2 linked regions of the Styela clava genome follow. The protein of the gene in region 2 binds, or shares a complex with, the protein of the main gene of each other region. Links are inferred from orthologs where the notes say so. Each region holds a gene or a part of one and is shown on either strand. Other genes may lie near its edges. The genes, in order: DNA polymerase epsilon subunit 4-like and DNA polymerase epsilon catalytic subunit A-like.

What was found.
Region 1: DNA polymerase epsilon catalytic subunit A-like (region 2) and DNA polymerase epsilon subunit 4-like share a complex: the UniProt entries of both Homo sapiens proteins name them as parts of the DNA polymerase epsilon complex. The link is inferred for Styela clava from reciprocal best matches to the Homo sapiens genes POLE and POLE4.

The regions. Positions count from the first base shown.
Region 1 is NC_135254.1:9,449,360-9,460,174, reverse strand, and holds DNA polymerase epsilon subunit 4-like, read right to left. Parts: upstream 4,523-10,815; 5' UTR 4,108-4,522; coding exon 3,772-4,107; 3' UTR 3,084-3,771; downstream 1-3,083. Other genes in the region: spermatogenesis-associated protein 24-like, read right to left, coding at 942-1,194, 2,055-2,224, 2,831-3,082. UniProt on the Homo sapiens protein: Accessory component of the DNA polymerase epsilon complex. Participates in DNA repair and in chromosomal DNA replication.
Region 2 is NC_135254.1:1,497,461-1,509,879, reverse strand, and holds the start of DNA polymerase epsilon catalytic subunit A-like, read right to left. Parts: upstream 6,077-12,419; 5' UTR 5,895-6,076; coding exon 5,821-5,894; intron 4,708-5,820; coding exon 4,545-4,707; intron 3,312-4,544; coding exon 1-3,311. UniProt on the Homo sapiens protein: Catalytic component of the DNA polymerase epsilon complex. Participates in chromosomal DNA replication.

The sequences.
Region 1 (10,815 bases), about 8.0 Mb from region 2:
ATGGAAGAAATTGCGAGAAAGCGTATTTTTATCTATTCTTTTGCATATTTCACTAAAAAAATTAGCGTTGTCCATCCGTATATTTCACATATTCGCCTCGTTGTTTTACGTCCGTAACTCAATTCACTCGTCCGCTTGCTGCAGCGACTTTTTCACCTTGATGATATTATTACCACAGAGAATGATAACATTACCAACATATAATTTTTCAAAACTTTTTGGTTCGAGATTCACAGACACAAGTCTGGTCAAGCTTTATTTTGCTAGAGCATAATCTAGCTTGATCAGGTAGGTGTAAGTTAGAATAAGCTTAAATGAAGTATAACCAAATATTTTCAGTTAACCCCATTTTATTGTCGACTTACTAACAGGAAACACAACACAGATTTATAAGAAATATAGAATTTATTACTCTTGATATATTAAGTATATATACAACAATAATTGTAAATTATTCTACAGTAATTTTATTTAGTTAACTTTCCAACATATATAATTCTGTTGATATGAAGAAATAAAGTATAAGAAAACAAATCTACAATTCCTACATGATACACCATTTTTTCACAAAATGTGGAGAATTCCGAATGATAATGTTCTACTTGTGAGAATATTGTTGTGTGTTCCAACTGAAGTCTGTAAATTTCGTCGATTAGGATTAGGGGTTAGGAAAACTTAAAAATAATAGAGTATGACCAAAACTGAAGGAAAATTAAATATGTTAGGCTAGCTGTAACTTGACACATAATCATCTGCACAAACGCCATCAAGTCACGTATGTTGAGTGTCAATATCTATGATTTCCAGCATGAATTGATTCATTTATAATATCAACTACTTTGTAATGATGATTTCAATATTAATTGGAACAAAATCATTCATGCCAAACAGCTCAATTTTTAAACATCAGACCGAGTCTTTCACCCAAAAACAGAAGTTTGTCAAGGTACACCCCGCCTTTTCCTTTTATCCTTTTCACTGAGTGAACGAGCCATATATTCTTCTTGTACTTTCTGAATTTCCATGTCATGAATAAACTGTTTATGTGAAGCTGACTGTGACTTCAATCTCTGTTTCAAATTTGAAATCTCATTTTCTTTCAATGTTATATCATCTTTTTGCCTTTGAATGATTTCTTCATTTTTCGTACATTTGTCGTATAAAAGATCACTTCTTTGAGTTTCTCTGTTGGCTCTGCCAGCAAAAATATATTTCAATGCTTAAATCCCCACAAACAAATAGCTAATTACATAAGAAGTTCAAAAACAAGTGCAATGAATTGTCCATTACCACAAGAGTTCAAAGCACCTTCCAGAATAAATATTCAAACATTGAAGGGCAATAAATATTGGCTATTGTGGCCATATGACATTAAGCTCCATTTTTATAACAACAGATATAAGTATGGTTTCACAAAAAAGAGTAAAAATTTGAATCATGTGCAAATTTTGAAATAAAAACAATCAAGCATAAATCTAATTAATGAAAGTGTTGTAAATATTGAATACCACCTTTTAATGTAAATCAAATATATTAAACATACTCTCATTTATAAAGCGTATATCCGAGTTTTAGCCAAATCAAGCTATGGCTAGGGATGGGCATTTCCAAATACCTCAAAATTTTGGAATCAAATTGGATATTTTTTCAAACCAAATCTTAAAAAATATACAAATGTATGTGTGTTTTTTTATTGTGATGGATCCTCCAGACACATAAATTACTGAAAACATAGAATTCATCACACAGTCAGATCACAGAGTGGTTTCACATAAAAGAAATCTGTTTCATCAACATCTCATTAGAAAGAAAACAGTTGTATGTCAGAAGTGAATTTTAAATATGGTTTCAACAAAAATTTTGAAAAATTTTTTTCAACCTTTGACGGCAAAAAAAAACAAGATGTCGGTGATTCAAAATTTTTTTCTGAATCGATTCGCATAATTTCCCTATCAATATCCAATAGAAATATTCAATTCGATATGCCCAGCCCTAGCTAAAAGTATTAACCCAGACATTCACTCAATGACATGCATATAATATCAACAACTCACTTTTGTTTGACAGATTTGATTAAATTCTCATGATCTGATTTTTCTCTCTCAAGATGTTTTGTAAGTATTTCAATTTCTCCTAATGCAAACCTCAACTTTTCTTGCTCTTTCTCCAGTAGTAACTTTGTTTTCCGATGTTCAAGTTGTTCATCCTCAAATTGCTTGATAGCCTGTAAGTTTAGAAAAACTGTGTACGAAAGACTTCATAACTAAAGAAAACTTTGAAATCAAACATTAGCTGGAACTAACAAGTCATACACATTGCCAAAATTTTAATCAATGCCACATAATTACATATACGGTACTACTTGAATCGTTTCAATGTGATGGCATGCTTACGATAAAATTCGAAGGACTGGGCTTCATAATAACCATGTGGAGGAGTTTGAAAAACGCATTCTTTTTTATAGCAATTAAATTAATTATGTGCTTACATGCTTGCCATCAAGAAGGATCAGAAAAAAATCATGAAATATTAGGATATCCTAATGCATTTTACACTGTACATCAGGGGCCTCGAACTAATTTACCTAGGGGCCACTGGACGCAGAGTCTGGGTGGGTCTGGGCCAAATCAGGTTTTCCCACAATAAAAGCTTAAAACATTCAAATCTTCTCAAATTTTTCCAAACACAAAACAAGTTAAAATGAACAAATTAAGACTACGATAAATAAAAAAAATAACTGAATATTAAAAATAAATAATTAGTGATTGGGACCTGAATTTTGGTGGTATTTAGGTAATCTACTATTTGATGCTACTCGCACTAATTTTACCTCGTCATAAGTTGTTTTCATAACATAGTTAAGTTTATGTCTCTCTTTTGTTTCTAACATTTGTTCTATTGCATTGTGTTGAAGTCCAATCACATCTTGCAATGTCGCTCTTACTAGATCATGAGTCGATGAACAACTTGCTGTCGATGAATCTGTTAATTCAGTCTTGCCAATTGAAGATGAGAATGATGATGAAAGAGTAGTATTTATATTCCCGGAAAATTTTAATGTATGATCTGATAATTCATCCATACTAATAGATCATGATATAACCATAGAAATAAAGAGAAAAAAGTGTAAATGGCAGTTCATTTTGTGCAGTAGCCAGAATCATATCCATTGACCCTGCATATTTTGATACTACGAGATCTCTCATGTCTCAATGTAAAACCTCACCATCTCAGGTTTTTGATGTTCAGAGTGATAGTGTCACAATATATAACATATTACAAAATAGGTAGAATATAAAAAAATAACTCAACCTTAGACATACTAGATTCGTTTCGTTCAAGTGGTGCTAATACATTATATGCACAACTAAGATAATCTTACTAATAAATGGTATAACAATTATGTTGTGCAAAAAAATTCAATTTTGCTTTAACAGAAGTAACTTTAAACTTTCTTCAAATAGATACAAGAAATACCAAATCAAAAAAATATCTAATGAACAAAAGCTCAAGGAAAAACTAGAATGTTTGGGATGTCTAATTAGATGCAGTAGTACAATTTCCAAGTTAATTTTCCCAAATTATAAGCAAGGATGACAAATGCAAGCTTATATCAGTAAATACACAGTAAAACCAGATATGTAATGTGCCTATCACATATTCCACACTTTCATGACATATTGAGCAGTTTAGGCAAAATCCAAATGAGGAACACTTCTTATTAGAGTACAAAATAAAGTATTGCATTCCAATATGATTGCTAAAATCATATCAGTCCAATGTTCCCTCTAAAAATGCCAGTTCGTCATTAATTTCCAGCACCATATCCAAATCTTTCTTCTGAATTGTTTTTCTTTTATTTCCTTGTGTTACTCTATAAACATCTCTCGATAATTGTTCGATAAAAAGTTCGGTTGCTTTGGCTATTAAGAAAACAGATTCTTGACTAGCAATGTTAACATCTTGATCTGCTTTTATCAAAGTTTTTATACGAGCAATAGGAAGTCTGCAAAGTTTTTCACTTTTTTCTCCGTCTTGATCTGTGTGATCATTTGTGTTCTCAATGTCATCATTGGATTCGTTGACTTCAACAGTTTCCTCACTCATCTTTTGTAACTACAGTACAGATAGTAATTATACCTAGACTATCAGACTATACGGTATGAAATTGAAACTGGAAAAACTCATCAATTTTATATTATAATACTATTGATGTGTAAAGTATAAGGCAGTAAAGTATTCATACAAACCATATATGGATAGGCTGAATAAAAATTCCATGAATACATGACGAATAAACCAGTCAAAAATACACTTCTCAATATATCGGTACATAATTCACTCTGTCACTAGTTGCATAGATACCGAATCAATTCCATAGTGACCATTCAATTCAGCAATTGCATCATACCAGCATAAAGACTTTAAAGCAATTTTTATGAACGAACTTGTCACTTCTCTATGAAAAATATCAACTCAATTAAATCTGTATGTTGACAGATTGTGCGGAGCTTAATGCAGTGATGCCATAACACCTAAATAGCCTACCGGTACTCGTACTGTTATATTGTGACATTGTACCAGTAGACTAGCCTAACTCACTTATTGATATATTTTGTTTTTTCTCAGACGATTTTGATATAAACCTAGTGCTATTAAATTCAAATTTATTTTGACATAAACTGAACTTTTATAATAATATAATAAGTTTATTTCGATCTTCCCTGAAAAAAAAATTCACGAAACAAACAACAAACACACAAAACATAAGGATGAACACACAGAACAATGGGGAAAATCGGGACGGGACAACAGGCAAAACCTTTAGTAAGGTTTAAAACAGCAGAAATGCATGTGCCTGTTCACCCATGCAACATGCAACTCAAATAATCGAACAGCAATTTCCGCGTTTGATCAAATATACAGAATATAGGCTATAATATATATTAAAAAATAACAAATAGAATAATATCAAAAAAATTACCAACAGTACATTATTAATATGTTAAATATGTTTTTCATGGTTGTTCCAAGGAAGAATTCATCACCGTTCATTTTTTCCATAATTCCCTTTTTTCATAATCATCATTTACCGTATAAGATTACAAATATTTTTAAGATGAAGGATGTAAAAAAAGTTTTTCCAATTATTATTTATCTAATAATTACATACACTTGTATAGACTTTTTTTTTTTTTTTGTATCATTTGTAGACATTTGTATCAAATATATCCATCCCCCTGACACCCAAAAGCTGAACAGTCTAAAAAACGTAAATTTGAAAATCTATACAGCACCGCGAACATCTACGCCGACCTTCGACCCCACTATGCCTTTTTTTCGGATACGATCTGATATTTTGTAGTTGGTATTCCTTCTTCTTGTTAGACACGAAATAAATCTGTGGATCGTTTTGGTATTGTGTTGTTAGAATTCTTCTTCTCTTGTTATGGAAAAAATCGCCTTTCTCCTCAATTACTGAACCTATCGCTTTAAAATTTACAGTGGTTGAAGATTGTTAGAAGCCTATTACCTTTATTCATTCCTGATTTTTGGACACGTCAGAGTACATAACGATCGTTTCAATATTATGTTGTTGTTGTCGTTGTTATTATTCTCTTTCGCCATGATGAAATCGCTTTTCTCTTCAAATACTGGACCAATTGCTTTGAAATTTTCAGTAGTTAAAGATTGATTTTTTGCCAGAAGGCTATTACTTTTACTTATTTCAAAAATTTCTGTGGACTTGGACTTCAAGAGATTCGTTTTTATGTGTCAGAATAAATAATAGCGACACCTTGTGACGTTTCCATATATTTGAGCACAGCTCTCTTGTTCTATAAATCCTATAAAATTAGATATCTTATCCAAAGTTTGGCTGTTCCATTTTATTCACGAGAACACGTTTTTATATTCCGCCAGCTTGACAGACTACGCCATGGCTGTTCTCGATTTTTATTTTACGAAGATACGAACTCGTGCTCCGCGAAAGTCGGGAGATTTTTGAGAAGGTGATGCCAGGCAACTAACGCACAGATTAGCAGGATAGGAATAACTGGAGGTTTGGTGTTGTGTACTTCTTACTCGTGTCCGGTTCATCTTTTACCTAATACGCTCAATTCCTGTTATCAAATCGCTCCAGTAACCGTTTACTCCCACATGGCACACTCTATGCAGTGGTGGGATTCAAATTTTTTGTCAGTCAGTTCCTTCACAAAAGTCATATAATTCAGCCGGTTCTGTTACAAACAGAACATTGACAATAAGCAGTAATGCTAACCGGTTCGCTGATCTCATAAAATTCCGTGAGACGGTTCTATAGAACCGATGCGAACCGGCTGAATCCCACAACTGACTCTATGGCATGAAATTGTCTTGTTAATACTAAGAGCATAAGTGAACAGAACTTTTATTGACTAAAATATTCAAGTTATACATCGTTATTTGCCTAACAATAAAAAACATCAAGAATGTACTGATGTCCGATGCTACATCCATAGAACAGCGACAATGATCTGTTCAACAAAGGTATAGTTTTCTTTGGAAGAGATAGTAGTGAAGCATGTTCCAAACCTCTTTTATATATAAACATTGGGATTAAAAATAATATGAGTAGGCTATAGCAGCCTGAGTTTCTATTTGTAGCAGAAGAAACGCCATCAAGATCCAGACATTCCAAATTACTACCATTGTTTGCTTTTACCCCAAAATCGAATAAACACGGATGAATGAATATCACTCATCGATACAACCGGGATATAAATTGTGAGGTGTTTCGAATTGTGAAGGGAAGTATAGCAATCGCCATCTTTGCTACTGGAATCATTCCCGTAGTAATCATCGTTACATTACGAATCACATCATAAAATTGGCACTTGACAGAGACTTTAGATTTATCGATCATCGCGCAACGATTTCTTACTTGGACTGTGCTTTCGCGCTAAAGTTGCCGGACCATTGAATAGCTTCTATAGAGTAGGGATCGTTACCAAAACAAAGATCGTACTGTACATGCAATATATCAAATATTATTCAATGGGGAGAACAATGCTATAAGTTTCAATTACTTTACTTGATTATAAATTTCCATACTGAAATCTTGTTTCCGAATTTATTGAAACAAATTTATCGTATGACTGTACACGTATCTAACCTTCAATTAAATTCAATTTTCAAAGTAGAAGTGTTTCGAAAAAATGTTTTGCCCAAACACTTAATCCCCAATCCGCCCGGAACATAAAATACTAAGTTTCGAATTCAAGAACTTAACTTAATTACAAAATATGACCGCTTGACCTTAAACATTGTTGACAATGTAATTGTATATATATACAACATATTATAAAGCGCTGCCATTACGGTAAGATTAGCTTGTTCAAACATTTGTTTAAATTGGCATCAAATTTGCAGTATCATTTTCTATATTTTTTAACAACTACTGGTAAATTGTGCGTTAAATTGTCGTTGTATTAAAAACAATTTACGATAGAAGAACTTGACGCGCACGTTTTGACAACTCAGACAATCTGGTTGCCAGAGTGGGATTAGAATCAAGCTGAAACCAGACCTTAATTTACAATGTGCTTCTCAAAGGATTTTCAAAATTCTGAAGTAGAATCAGAAATAGGAGAATCTCTAAACGTCCGGGTATCGAAATCGCCATTTTATATTTCATTCCTATTTTACCTTCTCACGTGTTCACAGCATCGACTATCCTCGTGACTTCGTGAATCATCATAATCAACAGTTTCGTTTTCATTGAAACAATATAACACCTAAATATGAAATCCTATATCATAAAATGCTGTAGAAAATTCTTAATATCGACCATTGGTGTGTTACCCGCATGTATGTGATTTGGATTCTGGAGTTCCGGTTACAGAACACTAATGTGTAAAAACATTATAATAAATCTGTATTATATTATTATGTTTTTAACACTAATAATAAATAATTATTCTTATACAATTTACTCTCTTTCTTTTATAATTGATATGCGTATTGCAATATATTAGTGAAGCGGTTTCCAAACTTTTTGTTCGTGCGGCGCCAAATTAGAAGGAAAACAACTCACGGCGCCTTAAAAGAAAAACATGACTGCCTTCAAATAAAACTAAATTTTGCGATCGTTAGCGTGTACTTTGGTGATTTAATATATTTATCTGGTATGGAAACAAGTAGATATCTTTCGTTGTGTGTAAAAAGTGGAATCTTCACTCCAAGTAAATTGAAGGTTGTAATCAACCCGAGTTTGAAGTTGACTAGATGATCTTGTCGATTCGCGACGGATGTGCTCTGCACATTTTTTCAAAAATTTCACAACTCTGCTTCCGTCTGTCTGGATTATCTCTATTGAGGGCATGGAATAAACATCAGCAACAGACTGTGGAAGCATGAGGTGAAAATGAAATCATGCTTGCAAAGTGAAAGCGTATGGTAACTATAGTAACCAGGCGTGAAAGAGAAGATTTTAAAACTGAGTGTACTGAACGTCAAATAGGATGCTATAGATTCCTATGTTAAGAGTTTAGTTGGAATCGATATCTGTGACGTGATTTGTTGCAATGACAAAATAATTTGCGTTTTTCTCAACTTTTTAGGATTAAATTTTGTGTTACTTTTTTAACACGCTGATATATGAAAGGATTTTAACATTATCATTGCCTGCGGCCGCATTCTTTTAATACTTGAATAATCTCATATAATCGTTCGATTAGCAGAAACGTTGCCGCCCAAAAATACAGCGAAGTTGTTTATACTTGTCATTTCATGATAAAATCGCCAGTCATTAAAGTACGCTTAACAGTGAATCTTCCGAAAATCAAGACCTGACCTAGTTTATTACTCAGCAATTAAAAGTAGGCAAGTATCAGAAATACTCAATTATGGAATTTATGATATATATTTGTGTTTTTCTTAACAGAAGCATATATACTTAGAGGAAAAAAAGAGAGATTTATCAAGATTTGAGCTTTCCGCCGAAATGTTCAAGATTACAACCTCAATGTCAATCCTTTTTTTTTATCAAGAGCAGAATTTGTGTAGTCAGAATTCAACATAAATTAATAGATGCTCCCGAAGTATGTGTACCAAGATGGCGCACAACCTGAACATAGTATGTGCACCAGGTTAGGTTTATCAGGTTGTGCGCCATATTTCTGGAACGCCAATTACTAATGCACAACTGCAATTTATTTCTACGCATAAGACTAGACTTCTTAGTATATATATTTTCATTTTTTTTTTATAAATTTTTTTCATAAACTGCTACATTAAGTTTAGTTGCAAAAAAATTGATTGTAGATCGAAGGGGTTGAATAATTCAAATTATTAGCAAATCGAATTATTCATTGACTGAGAAAATTCTTCGCGTTTGATCTATTTTAGTCAGAAGAAGCTCGTTTTCGTTAATTTTGGGACACGACATGGACAATGGATTGTATTCAGGGATGGCCATTTCCGAATACTAAACTAATCCGAATACATTCTAAAATAATGTTTTCGAATCTGGAATTCCGAATACATTCTAAAATCGAAAATAACACATTTTTGCTTAGTTTACTAAAACCCAGTAAATTAGGGAAATAAGCTTCAATAAAAATATCAGAATAAAGCCACAAACCAACAATATATGTACACAATGTAATTGATAGTTTATAGCTATCAATAAATCAATAAAAAATAATAGCAACTTGTGACACAGTCAGTTTATTATAATTATTCACTTTGTACAAATGACCATACGAAATGATAGCCAAAGAGTTGTCTGACGCTTTCTACCATTGGTACCAATACCATGATATTACGATAATAGTCAAGTCTATTGACAAAAATACTACTTGTATTCAGATAATTGTGTTTATTTTCTGAGAGTAATAAACTTTATTGGCAATACAGGCAACTGAAACAAGCAACAACAATAGAAAATCCATTATGCCTTTAAAAATTCTAATATTTAAGCACAGAGTATTCTACTACCTACCAGTATATTTGTATATTAATTTATGTGAACCATATTGTTATTATGTGTAACAAATTGTTGTGTTTGAAATTAGAAAAAAAATTAGTAGAGGATAGATGACCACCACTGCCAGCCGCGCAGCCAGGATTTTCGAAATCGGAAATTCCCATTGCCGCCTGTAACACCCACCGCGATTTCGCGCTCGCTAAAAGAGCCGTCTTTTCAGCGTATAGTGATCATTCTGTTACGTAAAATATTCAATCCATGACAACTACGAGATTTTAAAATATCTTTATATAATAATTTAATGTGTCCAACGTAACTCGCGGTTTCTTCTACTTACGTCAAAAAAAGAACATGCTATTCGGTCCACGGCGATCTGTGACCTAAACGTACGAGATAAACTGCCTGATGTATTTAATTTTAATACGTATTTTTGCAATCTTGCCAACTCGTTATCGCCGTTAGAAAAATCTCAAATAATGATATAAAATCCTGTTAAGTGTAGAGCATAATTCATTTCATACAATGAATATACAAGTTTAGCAGTAAATTAAAAATACATATTCTTCGCCGCGATTATGCCACCTGTTAAAAGAGTCGACTTTTACAACAAATAATATAACAACGAATATATATTTTTCTGTTGTGCAAAGTGATGAATTCGTGACCGATACGGGCATATTTAAAATGTCTTTCTTTATTAATTTAATTGTTTTCAATTTAACCTGCGGTTGCGTCGACAAAATAAAATCCTCATATACCATTGCAATCCGCGGTCATAAAAAAAAACGTGTGGTAAATTGCCCGAAAAAAAGTCTATATATCCTCTGTAACATCTTAGAGGGAAATTT
Region 2 (12,419 bases):
TTTTTCGGCAAAACAGAAAACATATCAGTAATTCGTTTTTGTTTGAAAACGTCGTTTTTTTCCATCAATCGTTTATGTAGCCAATCGGGATGACGCACTCTCGGAACGGGGTTCGGAACCCCCTGTAAAGCCGCAGGAATCGTGATAATTTTTTGTATCGTGTTTCCGAGCCGTTCTATATAATACCCCCAGTCTAAAATGCTACGAATATCGAAATCAGTCAAATTTGAAGTTTTTGTCCAACGGCGAAGGTAGTGTCGCTTCACACTTTGTTCTGATTGGAAAATTGCAAGCGGAATCGCCCGTTCCGTGACTGGTGCGCCTTCTGGTTTCTTCGAAATAATAAAACGACACGACAGACCTGAATCCTTCACCATCTGATCACCGAGAAACTCTGCGAGTCTTTTTGCTGTACTGATTGAGGTCGATTTTTGCGCTCCGTATTCCTCGAGTTTTTTCGACATGGACCGGTTTTCTGTGATTAGATCGAAAAGTTCGGAATCTGGCATATTGTCCGCTTTACTGTACAGCACGTCTAACCAGTAATCTGCAACTTTAGCCACTGAAGCATAAACCTCCTCTAGTGTTCCCCCGCGTAAAAAAGCCTCAAAAACCGAGGACTGAAAAATTTTGATTAATTGTAGTTCCCCCCTGCGTTTAACTTCAAAACCTTTCAATTCTGCTAAAGAGCCGTCAAAATTAAAAACAGCATAACGTTTTTTCAATTTTTTTCCTTCTTCTTTAGAAGCTGGCAGAATCATGGCAAGATACGGTCCATCGACTTCGAAAAATATTGAATTTTCGCTTCGTTGTGTGTATGTCAATGTCGCAGGATCAGTAAGCTCTTGATACTGGTGATTTGTGTATTCATCTTTCACCATAACGTTTAGCATAGCTCCAGGGTAAGAGATTGTAACTTTAGGCTTTTTTGGGTTCGTTGTATGTATAACATAATTCTCAGGAAAACTGGCTGGTAGAACGCACCAAATACCGTCTGTGTCCAACTCAAGAGGTCGTCCAATTTTTTCGACGATTTCTCTAGCTTTTGTGATAATGCTTGCACCGGTATAGCAGACAATTCCAGCCATTTCCATTGAGTACCACCGTGCCCCTTTACGCATTACATACCCATAAAAAGAATTCAAAATACATTTGTGAGCAAGTTGTAGAGAATCGTATAAAACCTCAAGCCCTTTTGCTGCTTTTATTTCCGAAGCGTCTCCGCTTGCTACAGCATCACTAACTTGCTTTTTCGCTTTTTTCAGCGCGGCTTTAAATTCGTAACGGCGATCACGGAACATACGTACTGTGTCGACATAAAATGAATTCTCCCGCTGGCAAATCGTAGTGTAGCGCTCTTCAATTCGGCTGATTTTCGTTTTCTTGTAAGCGATTCGACAGTATTCCTGAAGACGTTTTTTCTCTTGTTCTGCTCTCTCAATTTTATTTAATTCATGGAAAGCTCGAGGTTTTCCACCGGGAAAAAATGACGGAAATTTTTCAGTTTCTAATTGTTGTTGAATGCGATGAAATTCACTCCTAGTGGCGGGCATGTATTCCCCACGCCACATCCATGGCATGGAACGTTGGCACGTCGCACCAGGTTTGTTGAAATCACAAGCCGCACAGGTTTCATCGTCAACCATCGCTGAAGGCTGTAAACGATTCGTTAGAATGATATTCGGATACATAGCTCCAACGTCGAGATGGTAAATGATCGGGTTCTCAATTCTAGCGGGATTGTCCCGCAAATCAAATAATTTTGATTTAATATCCCGACAAACTTCTTCATAATTCGTAACTTCGGATAACGGGATATTTTCTTCGACTTCGATGCAAAATTTTATAGTTTTTTCAACCTCCCCATGTAGAAAATTATACCCCCCTGGGTCGCCTAAAAAGCGACAAGGGATATCAGCTCGAAAGACCCCACTTTCAATAGCTTCGACATGACCCCCAACATACGTTTCCGAGTCCAACACGTGTCCGTCGTTTGTCTGTTTGTTCAACGTTGACTCTTGTCTGTTTGGGAATATAATATTCACATCAAATGCCTGAACCATGAGAAGAGCTTCACATAAAGTTCCAGAGCCTTTTCGCAGCACAGAGTCCGGATCCATAGGGATAATAGTACAAAGCGCGAATATGAAGGGATGAACATATTTCATGTAAAGGTAGTATGTTGCAACTGCGTCCGACACTGAATAATTAGCCATTGTTTGTGGTTCTTCGCTCGCTAAGCGACACATATCTTCTGGGTCTAATTCTACTGGGTCGTAACGAAGTTTCGCTTTTGCTGCCGCTTTCAGGCTTTGTGATCCCATCGGTAAATAACTGTCTCTTTTTACCCATTTAAAAGCGTCCATGTGTGACGCTTGGCGGCATTTATACTCCCCTTGAGAGTCTTTACTGAATCCAATCTCTTTTATCATTTCAATTCCGTGCTTTAGAGCCCGCGCTTCCACGAATGGCCAGTCAAAGAAATCCCCATTATATGTCACAAATAAATGTGGCTTAACGTCTAAAATATGATCGAAAAAACGATGCAACGTTGAAATCTCGTCAGGTTCATTAAAAACTTCGAATTTCCCCTCGTATTCTGGTTTGGGTGTGAATTCAAAGTCCTCTACGTCGGCAGATATTATTTCTCGGTTACAGATCAAATATCCTTGTCCGTCTATCATATAAGAAATCATCATAATACAGTCAGTATCAGGATCAGGGAATTTTAACGGCAATTTCGTCGTTTCGATATCATAAGCTAATACAACCGGGTCTGGCCGCTCTAATAAATCGTTTCGTTTGGTTATCACGGGTGGAATAGCGCTTCCTTTAAATTGAACGGAGTACCACAGACCAACATGGATTTTCAAATCGATTGAAACTCGAACGTAGTAAGTAACATCGTGTTCGCGTATGTCAAGTAAGTTATCCAACTGGTCAACCAGCGTTTTAGATCTATCACTTGAAGTTTCGGAGACTTTTTCTCCAGCGAGGGTGCTAGTAAGCATTTCAACATACGCAGAATGTCCTTTTTCACGCTGTTTGTTACGGTTCACCGCCCGTTGGATAATTTGCCTCACGCTTGATAAATCGTCGACGTGCATGAATGATAATTTTAAATACGTCTGCTTTAATCCAACTAAATGATTCTGTAGATCCAAATCTTCTTTTTTCTTAATTTCGATGGAAAAAATTTTCGGGAATTTTCGCTGCAGAAATGAAATGACTTCTTTTTCTGTCCCACGTTTTGTCAAAACGTAAAAATATGGCTTGAAAGGAACAGAGACTTTGAATCGTTCACCGTCATCCTGTTAAATAAAATTTGAGAGATTCAATACAAGAAGAGGCCAAATAGGAGTGTATTCACTCATTACACCGCCCCCACCCCTGAAGCCTCAACCGACAATGAAAAATTATACATTATGCATACACGGAACCAATTATACATTGAGGTATTAATTTTATGAAAATCATTACAATTCAAATTAATATGCTTTAAAGCAGGGGTGTGCAACAGGCGGCCCGCGGGCCACAACCCGGCCCGCCAAGACAATAAGTGGGGCCCTTGTCAACACTCAGATATTTTCCCACTAAGCATCAAATTCTAACCTGACAGTTCATGTTTAAAAAAGCGCACACAGGGGTTAAAATCCATAAATTTGAGTCTTTCGTCTTTTTGCCTTTATTACTGAAGACTGAGCGATATAGCCTTTTTGTGGTGAGAAATTTTTAATTCATTATGTACCCGAAAGATATTGAATTTTTTGAATGGCCCGGCTAGATGTCAGAAGTTGGTTATATGGCCCCCGACAAAAAATGTTGCACACTCCTGCTTTAAAGGTATGTCACCTGCACAAAAAAAGCTTATAATATACTGCTACAATAAGGGTTGAGATAAAATATAAAATATTAAAATTTTGGAAATATTTTGAATGAAAACAACACAAAAAAAAGCTTCATTTTGAGCTAGTTGGTCATTTTTGAGAAGTGATATTCACAAAAGAATTTTAGTAAAAAGTTGTTTAAAAGCCAAAATGTACATTTTCCTCATTTTCTCAAAAAAACTTTAGTAAGTTTCGCCCTTTTGAATTAAAGCACTCAATTAGTTTAATCTTTGAGTATGATAAAAGATTTAAAATTTTGATTATCCAGTGGTCTGGGCTCCAAAAATATGGAAGTGAAAAACATATCACAGGCCAGTGTTAAAATGAAGAGTGCGTTGGTATCTTGAACAAAATAACTGCACAAGTGCTCTGGCTGATATTAACAAGTAAGGTGACTTAGCTTTTATTTAAACAGTCAGCGATTAGGGGTTGTTTGAAATGAGACATCAAACGAAGAGAGGCGAACAAAAACCAACTCTGGAATTTTTTTAACATTATTTCGCTATTAATAACATGCAATTTATAAACACAAAAACACCACTTGAAATAGCAAATTGCATCCTATTATTAAGGGCACTACTTTCATTGAAGCAAAAAAAAACTCCCCTTCTGCTCCCCAACAACTTAGAAACCACTGGTTCATAATATATATCTTACCTGTAAGAAATAGAAATCCACTGCACTGATCATTTTCTTATCTTCATCCAAGATATCTGCTTCACACATGTTTATCAGCCATCCCAGCTTCTCACACGGAAGAGATAATTTCTTATAGCCATATCTCTCGTCCATCTCTTCAGATAATTTCGCTTGTTCCAGTCTGGGAATAGAAGCAAAAGTCACACGCAAAGTCAGCGAATTGCTAACCTCATGTAGAGAAATTGGCCTCTCAGGCGGGCGGTACTGAAATGCCAATATCGCCGTTATTTCTTGACCGTTTCTTGCAAACTTGGTATTGTTTTGTTTATTTCGACTAAGAAATATCTACTGGCGCAGTAATTACTCAAATCAAACAAATTTTAAATTTTTTGTAATATATATAGCGTTATGAACTAGGAGGATTGATTTACATTATCCTACAAATCTGAATCGGGCCAAATGCCCCCATTCCAGAGATGAGTAGTGTGCTTGTTTCATTGTTTTAATACCGAGTCTAACGAAGTACACATTGCAAGTGCTTAAATGACGCTAAACAAAAATATGATGTGAAAATACAATATGGCACACTATCCGAATGCCCTGTCAATAAAACAAAAACTTCATGTGTCTCACAAACGAGGGGCGTCTGCTACGATGGCAGATGAGTCATATTGCGCCATGCTTGCCTCAATGATAATCTAAATTAATCGCAGACGTAACGTGACCAAATCTGCCGCTTTTTGCTCCAAACTCTCAAATGCCACGGTAGAAAATTTTTTACTTTGGTAAATCGGATTATTTTTTACCGGAGGAATTGATGACGTTTTCAGATTGCGATTCTTTGTAGTTTGTGCACAACTTCATTTTACTGTATTTTTACGGATTATGAGTGTCCAGACGTCCCCCGAAGAAGGGGTCTCTGATCATCTGCAAAATGGGTTTCTCTGAAACGAGACAATGTCGCTCGATCTGTATAGTGTGCTGTACTGAAATAAATGCTGGAGCTGCTCAAACCTCAAGTTTTTTTTATTGTTTTCTGCAATGGAATGCTACACCCTGTTTGGCATAGAATGAATATACCAGCTTTATTGAGTAGATTTTATTCAAACTGAAAACGTCTTGTCAATAATTTCATTCCATGCTAGACAGACTTTTTGAAAACATCAAAATTTAACATCACATTTCTGATTGCTTACATCAAATTTTCAGTTTGGTGTTATTTCAAGGAGTTATGACGTTTACTTCGCTAGGCCCTAAATACTTCGAAATCTTTGAATGATTGAAAGAAACAAACCTTTTTGCGGCACCATCTTCGTTTTTAGACCAGTCTTTCTCCTTCACTAATTTTCCGGTGTTTTGTAGCGGCATTTTGGTCAGTTAAAGCTATTTCAACCTATATTTTTCACTACCAATTCACATCCTATAATACACTTATCGTGTATTAACTCTTAGAACAAGCTATTACTGTATTAATGGTAAATAATAACCATTAGCGGCTTTCCTAACTAATAAAACGAAAAGCCAAAACCGCTACGAAAAAAGCGGGAAACCAGGAACAGCGGGAGAAGACTAAAAATATAAACGATTATTGTTCCTACACGGAAAATAATATTTGGAAAAATGGAGCGAGAAATGTTAAATTTCAAAATAGACCTAACGAAATTTATTAAAAAGATTGAGGCATATCTATAATTTCAAAAACATTTTTTTATTGTCTTAAGCAAACTAAAAATCCCGGAAGACCAAATTACCACTGAGTCATAGCTAAATTTGGGAAATATTGCCAGCATCACCGCGAAAACGAGCGCATTTCCACATCCGTGCTCACAAACCGTGTTGCCGGTTGACCCGCGTTTAATTTTTAATTAGTCGTCCAAATGCATACCGAATCTGAATTTATTTTCTATTCGAATTATTCTATCGCTACCTTCTACCGGTATGTTTCAACAGCAAGAGGGATATATAAAGGGGAAAGAAAATATAGAGTTGAACCATATATTTACGGTTAAACCAACCCCGTGTACCTCCGGAAATTTGGTCCCGATGTTGAATTCGCCGTCACGCTCGACTTAATGCTGACAGATTATTGCTTCGAAAACCATCGTGCGACGTTCTGCGTTTTTCTGTGCTCTGACGAGCTGTCTCGCGTCAAGATTAAGTGAGTGACTTATAAATATTCAAGTTAGTTGTGCACATGGAATATTACACGATATACTTGACTATAGAACTCATAGAATGCAGATAACAAAACAATGACAACAATTTTATGATTACCGGTACTGTTATTGATTAATAGTATTTACAATAATTTGGACGTTATTTGGCTTGTTGTGGCTTCTATTTGATGAGTGAAGCAGGTCTAGCCCACCTCTTCATACATCCAACTTGGCAATTCTGATTGGGCAATTTGGCATTAGGTGACTCCAATTATAATCAGCTTGACGATATCTTTTGAGTAATACTTTTCTATCCACAATACATTACTCTTGTTGACTAATTCGGTATCCAATTTGGCAATCCTCATAAAATTATTAATTTGGTGTGGCAAAAGAATTTATTCATTTTTTTTTTTTATTTGTTCGTATATTTTCCTTTCTTTTTACTTTTAAGTCTCGCTTTTTTCGCTTCCGACAGTATCATGTCTCGATGATTGTGTGTGTGCGTGCGTGCCTTAATTAGTTTTTTTTACTTTTGGGAGCGAACACGTACTACTTCTTTTTTCAATACCTTTCCATCTAAAATCTGTACGTTTCAAACCTTACTCTAGGTTTTGTTCGCTTTCCCGATTCTATAATCAGTTACTTTTACTTTTGTTTTTATCTATTTTTTTATCGTCTATTGCTGATTATGGAGTCGAAATAAACTTATACTTATACTTATTATAAAATAGAAGAACAATCAATTGAGTGGGAAGGCGTTAGGACCGGTCCAGCACTCGAAAGCACATTGACGGTAAGATTTTAAATTCACTTTAAAGCTCCCATGAGTAGATGTAGTAGAGAGCCGCTTTGTGCTACGAATGTTCAGCATAAAAGGAGTAAGTTGTAAATGTTTTTATTGGTACCCAATACAGTAATGATTTGTCAAGTCAGTAAATTTTGATATGAGATATGTATATTTTCAGGAAGGAAAGGATTATAAAAAAAGTTACAGTGTGAGGATTTATGCTGTGTGATCAAAGCAGTGAGCAAGAATATAAATTGAATGATGAGTGATGCTTTATCTCAAAAATCAGAATTAGCTTACACTATATCAATGAAAATTTTTGGTGGAGCAACTAAAACTGTCAGCAAAAAAAAGAAATGTGGTGAGCGATACCACCCTGAAATTGTGACGTCCGTATGAAAAACATAGATTAAACACACATATTTTAACTTCAACTAATAAGTGTTTTATGATGGAGTTCCACCGATCTTGATAACTTTTTTCCATTCTGTCATTGTATACGAAGTCACCAGCTGCATATTACAACATAAGAGGTATTTTACGTTTGCCATGATAATCCATATTGCTTGATTTCAGGCTGGTACTAATAACTTTTTTCACATAAATTGGATAACTATTATTGCTATTATCTAAACATGGCCTCAACATAGATATATTTATAATTTTGGATGTGCCAAAAAATTTTGAATTAGTTTGTCGAGTATTTTTAAGGAATTGATTTGTGATCAATAGCAATAACTTTTTTGCGACTGCAAAATCCATCACGTTCATTGAATGCATTAATATTTCTCCTGGAACCGTTATAATTGATTAATTTTAATTTGTTTTGTGGGGTATTCGCATTTTTGTTTCAAATAATACCTTGTCTAAGTGGCTGTTATACTTATATATATAAACACATACATGTTTAGATGGTAGACAAGGTTCAATTGTTGTGGGCAATTTATTTCAAAATACCGTAACTAAAATAAAAAAAATTGCAGACGTCTCGAAACTCATTTTTGAAGAATGATTTGCTGTCACCAGATGGGGTTTTGGCATGGAAACACATCTAGAGGGAATTTATGAAGATATGTCTAAAAAACATTTGAAACAGCCATGTAAACTAACAGACCAACATGTGAGAGAGATTCATTGCTACAAAACAATGTCAACACTATTATAAACATAATACAATAACGAAAAAAATTTCAGCTGTAATGACAGTGATTAATTATTGCTTTGTGCGGATCGGTGTGCAAGACCGATTAAAGTCATCTAGGCTCCCTTGTTTATATGCTGTATATAAGACTATCATGGCATAAAATAGTACCGTAGGTGGATGCAAGCGAGAATAAATATAAATATATAAAATATACATAAGATAAAGAAATGAGTCGACAATTCAATGGTATTATGGAAGTTATTATTAAGGGCAATTTAGGATTTTGAGAGGTCATGTATTGGTTGGAGCCGGACATGTCCAATGGAAAGATTTTTGCAAAAAGCATTTTTTTTTATTGGGCATTAACCGGGATAAAAATGGAATAATAGGGACGAGAAATAAGTACATCACAGATTCAGCATTATAGCAAGCACGTGAAGTAAAAGTATCATTTCCCACCTCAATGAGTTCACGAGAAAAGTACAGGGAAAAAAAATTGTAATAAGCACTGAATATTGTATCGTTGCTACCAACATTCATATCTATACATGTTTAACTCAATGGCTTGATAAAAATGTCTGTTAAATATTAAGCACAGGTATAGCACAAAGAATTGTTTTGGATAATAATTCATTTGTATTTTCTTATTAGATCTATTTCCTATTGAGCATTTAAATTTGGAGACAAAAGACTGCAGTAGATTAGCCAAAATTTCATAAATTTTTTTTTCACACTGAAAGTCTACAACAGGTGATTAGCTCAAGAATTTTTTAACAAAATAAATGCTATACGGCTACATGCAACACATTCTGTAGTGATATTTAAAAATCAACAACATTTCATTGCTTCTCCAGCATATGAAGGGCTTCAAATGCTGGTACCTTCAACATGTGATATACCATATTAGACCAAACATCTGTCAGACCCCCCTTTAAGTGTGAGATAGTAGTCTTCAAATTGTTCAAATACTATATCATACATATAAATTTTTCGTGGCGTGAAACACCTCTTAGAGTTAGACCATCGGGACTATTATAAACCCCGACCCCCCCCTCTTCAAAATCTTCAGCTATGCCTCACCCTATACATTGAATGAATCGACAACAGATTTTCAGTTTAAAAGATGCATATTTTGCAGGTCGCGGGGCAGGGAATCCATCGGTGCTCCAGTTGATTGAAAAGCAGCAAAGAAAAAGAAATATGTAGCAATGTCCACGTGATAGAACCTAAATTGCGTTTTTACTCCAGCTAAGAACCACTACCAAAGCCTTAAAAAGCATCAATACCACTATTAATATAACTTGATATTCAGTATTTATTCACATTAGTAATTAAAATAATAATTTTTATTCCTATGGATTATTGAGAAAAAAACTTGGGTACTCCAGAAATACGTGTACCAAGATGACGGACAACGGAACATAGTATGTGTACCTGGTTAGGCCATACTTTTAGGTACAAATACTACGAAACTCACTTGGTTAGTCCCTGAACTCGTAATAGAACTAAAATAAGGACATTTTGGCCTAACCCTAACGTGGTACACATATTACGTTCCGGTGTCCTCCTTTCTTGGTACGCATATTTCAGGAGTACGGAAACTTGACTGTAATCACATATATCTTAATCTTCGTTCTAGCTGCTGTGTTTCTTCAATTGGTTTCGTATTTCATGTGTCCTATTTGATATCTTGTTGTTATTATTTTGGCTGCAGTACTTGCGTATACATTTGCTCAGATCTTTTGAATACTTTCTCAAGTAGTGTTGTTACATCTTGACATTCAGTTACATTGTTTAATAGGTATTCGCTCATGAATGATTTGAAAATATTTTTCTTTTATATCAAGTGTCGGATGTTCAATGATGTGATGATGGAAATAAATTTAAGCTGATTGCATGTGTTGAGATAGCCTTTGTATAATCATTGACTCGGTCTTACTACTTACTGAATACAGCGCGAAACACCGCAAAGAGCGCAAAACAGAGGGAAACAGCGCAAAACAGTGTGGAAACAGCGCAAAACAGAGGGAAACAGTGTGAAGCAGAAAAAAATTTTGCAATGAGTTCGGGGCACCTTGTTTTGAGTTGGAGTACCATGGCAGCAAATTAAAAACACAAACCAACGTATGTAGCCAGTAATGCTGTAATGGCAGGTCTGCCCCTGCTGGTGACACATTTTGGGTACCATAATTTAGAACATTTTCCATATGGATATGGTTGGCTTTAGAGTTAGGGTTAGGTAAAAGGGACCTCCAGAAGTATGTGCACCAAGATGGCGCACAACCTGAAATTAGTATGTGTGTGTGTGTGTGTAGCGGATTCAGGTTGTGCGATATATTGCTGCACATACTTCTGGAGCACCAAAAAGGTAGATAAAATTTCGCATGATGACCTATAATCCGGTACATAACCTTGTAAATAGGCGCGAGGTTCTTTCGTGGCAGGAGGTGGTAATGACTGCGTCTCCTGTTTTGCGCTGTTTCCCTCTGTTTTGCGCTGGTTCCTTCTGTTTCGCGCTGTTTTCCTCTCTTTTGCGCTGTTTCGCGCTGTTTTGCGCTCTTTGCGGTGTTTCGCGCTGTATTCAGTAAGTAGTAAGACCCTCATTGACTCTTAAAAAAGTTATTGGACACGTAGTGGACATAACGATCGTTTCAATATTATGTTGTTGTTGTTCTTGTTCTTGTTATCCTTGTTGTTGTTCTTGTTCTTTGACACGTTTTTAAAAAGTCGCTTTTCTCTTCGAATACTGGACCAATTGCTTTGAAATTTTCAGTGGTTGAAGATAAAATTTTTCTCCAGAAGGCTATTACTTTTTTTTTCGCTATGACGTCATCAAAATTATTGCCATTGGGTGGCGCTACGTGTCCATATATTTGAGCATAGCTCTCTTGTTTATAATTTGGTTTGATTAATTTCTTGAGCAGAGCCTTGTGTTTCTGGGTTGAATTATTAACAGAAATTGCTGCTCTACCTATGCATTCCAGATTGTTGTCACATTCACAAAAGCTGCAGTGCGCAAATCACTGGCCCTTCGTTTCGTTCGACGCCGTTGAATTCTTTCTCATAATCATCACAGCAAATTTGTTACGTTTACTCATTTTATCTCTTATGAAGTTCCAGATCTAAGCTAAATTCAAAGTTTAATTTACTGGTTTATTCATTTATAAGGTTAAAAATAAGGACACACGTCAAAATTAAGATGTTTCTTAGAAATAAGGACAAAAACATGCCCTAAAACAAAGACCTTCAAAATAAGGACAAATTCTAAAAATAAGAACGTTGTGGCAGCCCTGATTATAGGTAGGCTTACCATAAGTCCCGCTTTAGGCGGGACAGTCCCGCTTTTTAGCGTTTTGTCCCGCTGTCCCGATGAGTCAGCCAAAAGTCCCGCTTTTTCTGCATAATACACAAACATGTTCTCGTTACTGTTGTTTCTGTGTAGCGCATCGCTAGCCTGCTTACTGAAGGTGAATGCGTTCGTTTCCCGCTGATTCCCATTGATGGCAGAGGTATCGCATGTAGAACCAATACTAATTAGTCTAAATTCGAATTATTTGTATGTCAATTCCTTCCTATTTTTCGAATATGAACCCGATATTTGGACAGGGATCGCATGAAATTTCGATAACAATATGGTCAATAAAGACAGTCGGGACAGCTTTAAATGTAGGCCTATGTGGTAAAATCGGAAAAAGTGAAGTTACAAAATCACAGCTAAGGGGTCGTTGTCTTTTGAGGCGTCCCGATTTGAAGTTACAAAAATATGGTAACCCTAATTATAGGTCAAGTGGAGGAAAAACTTC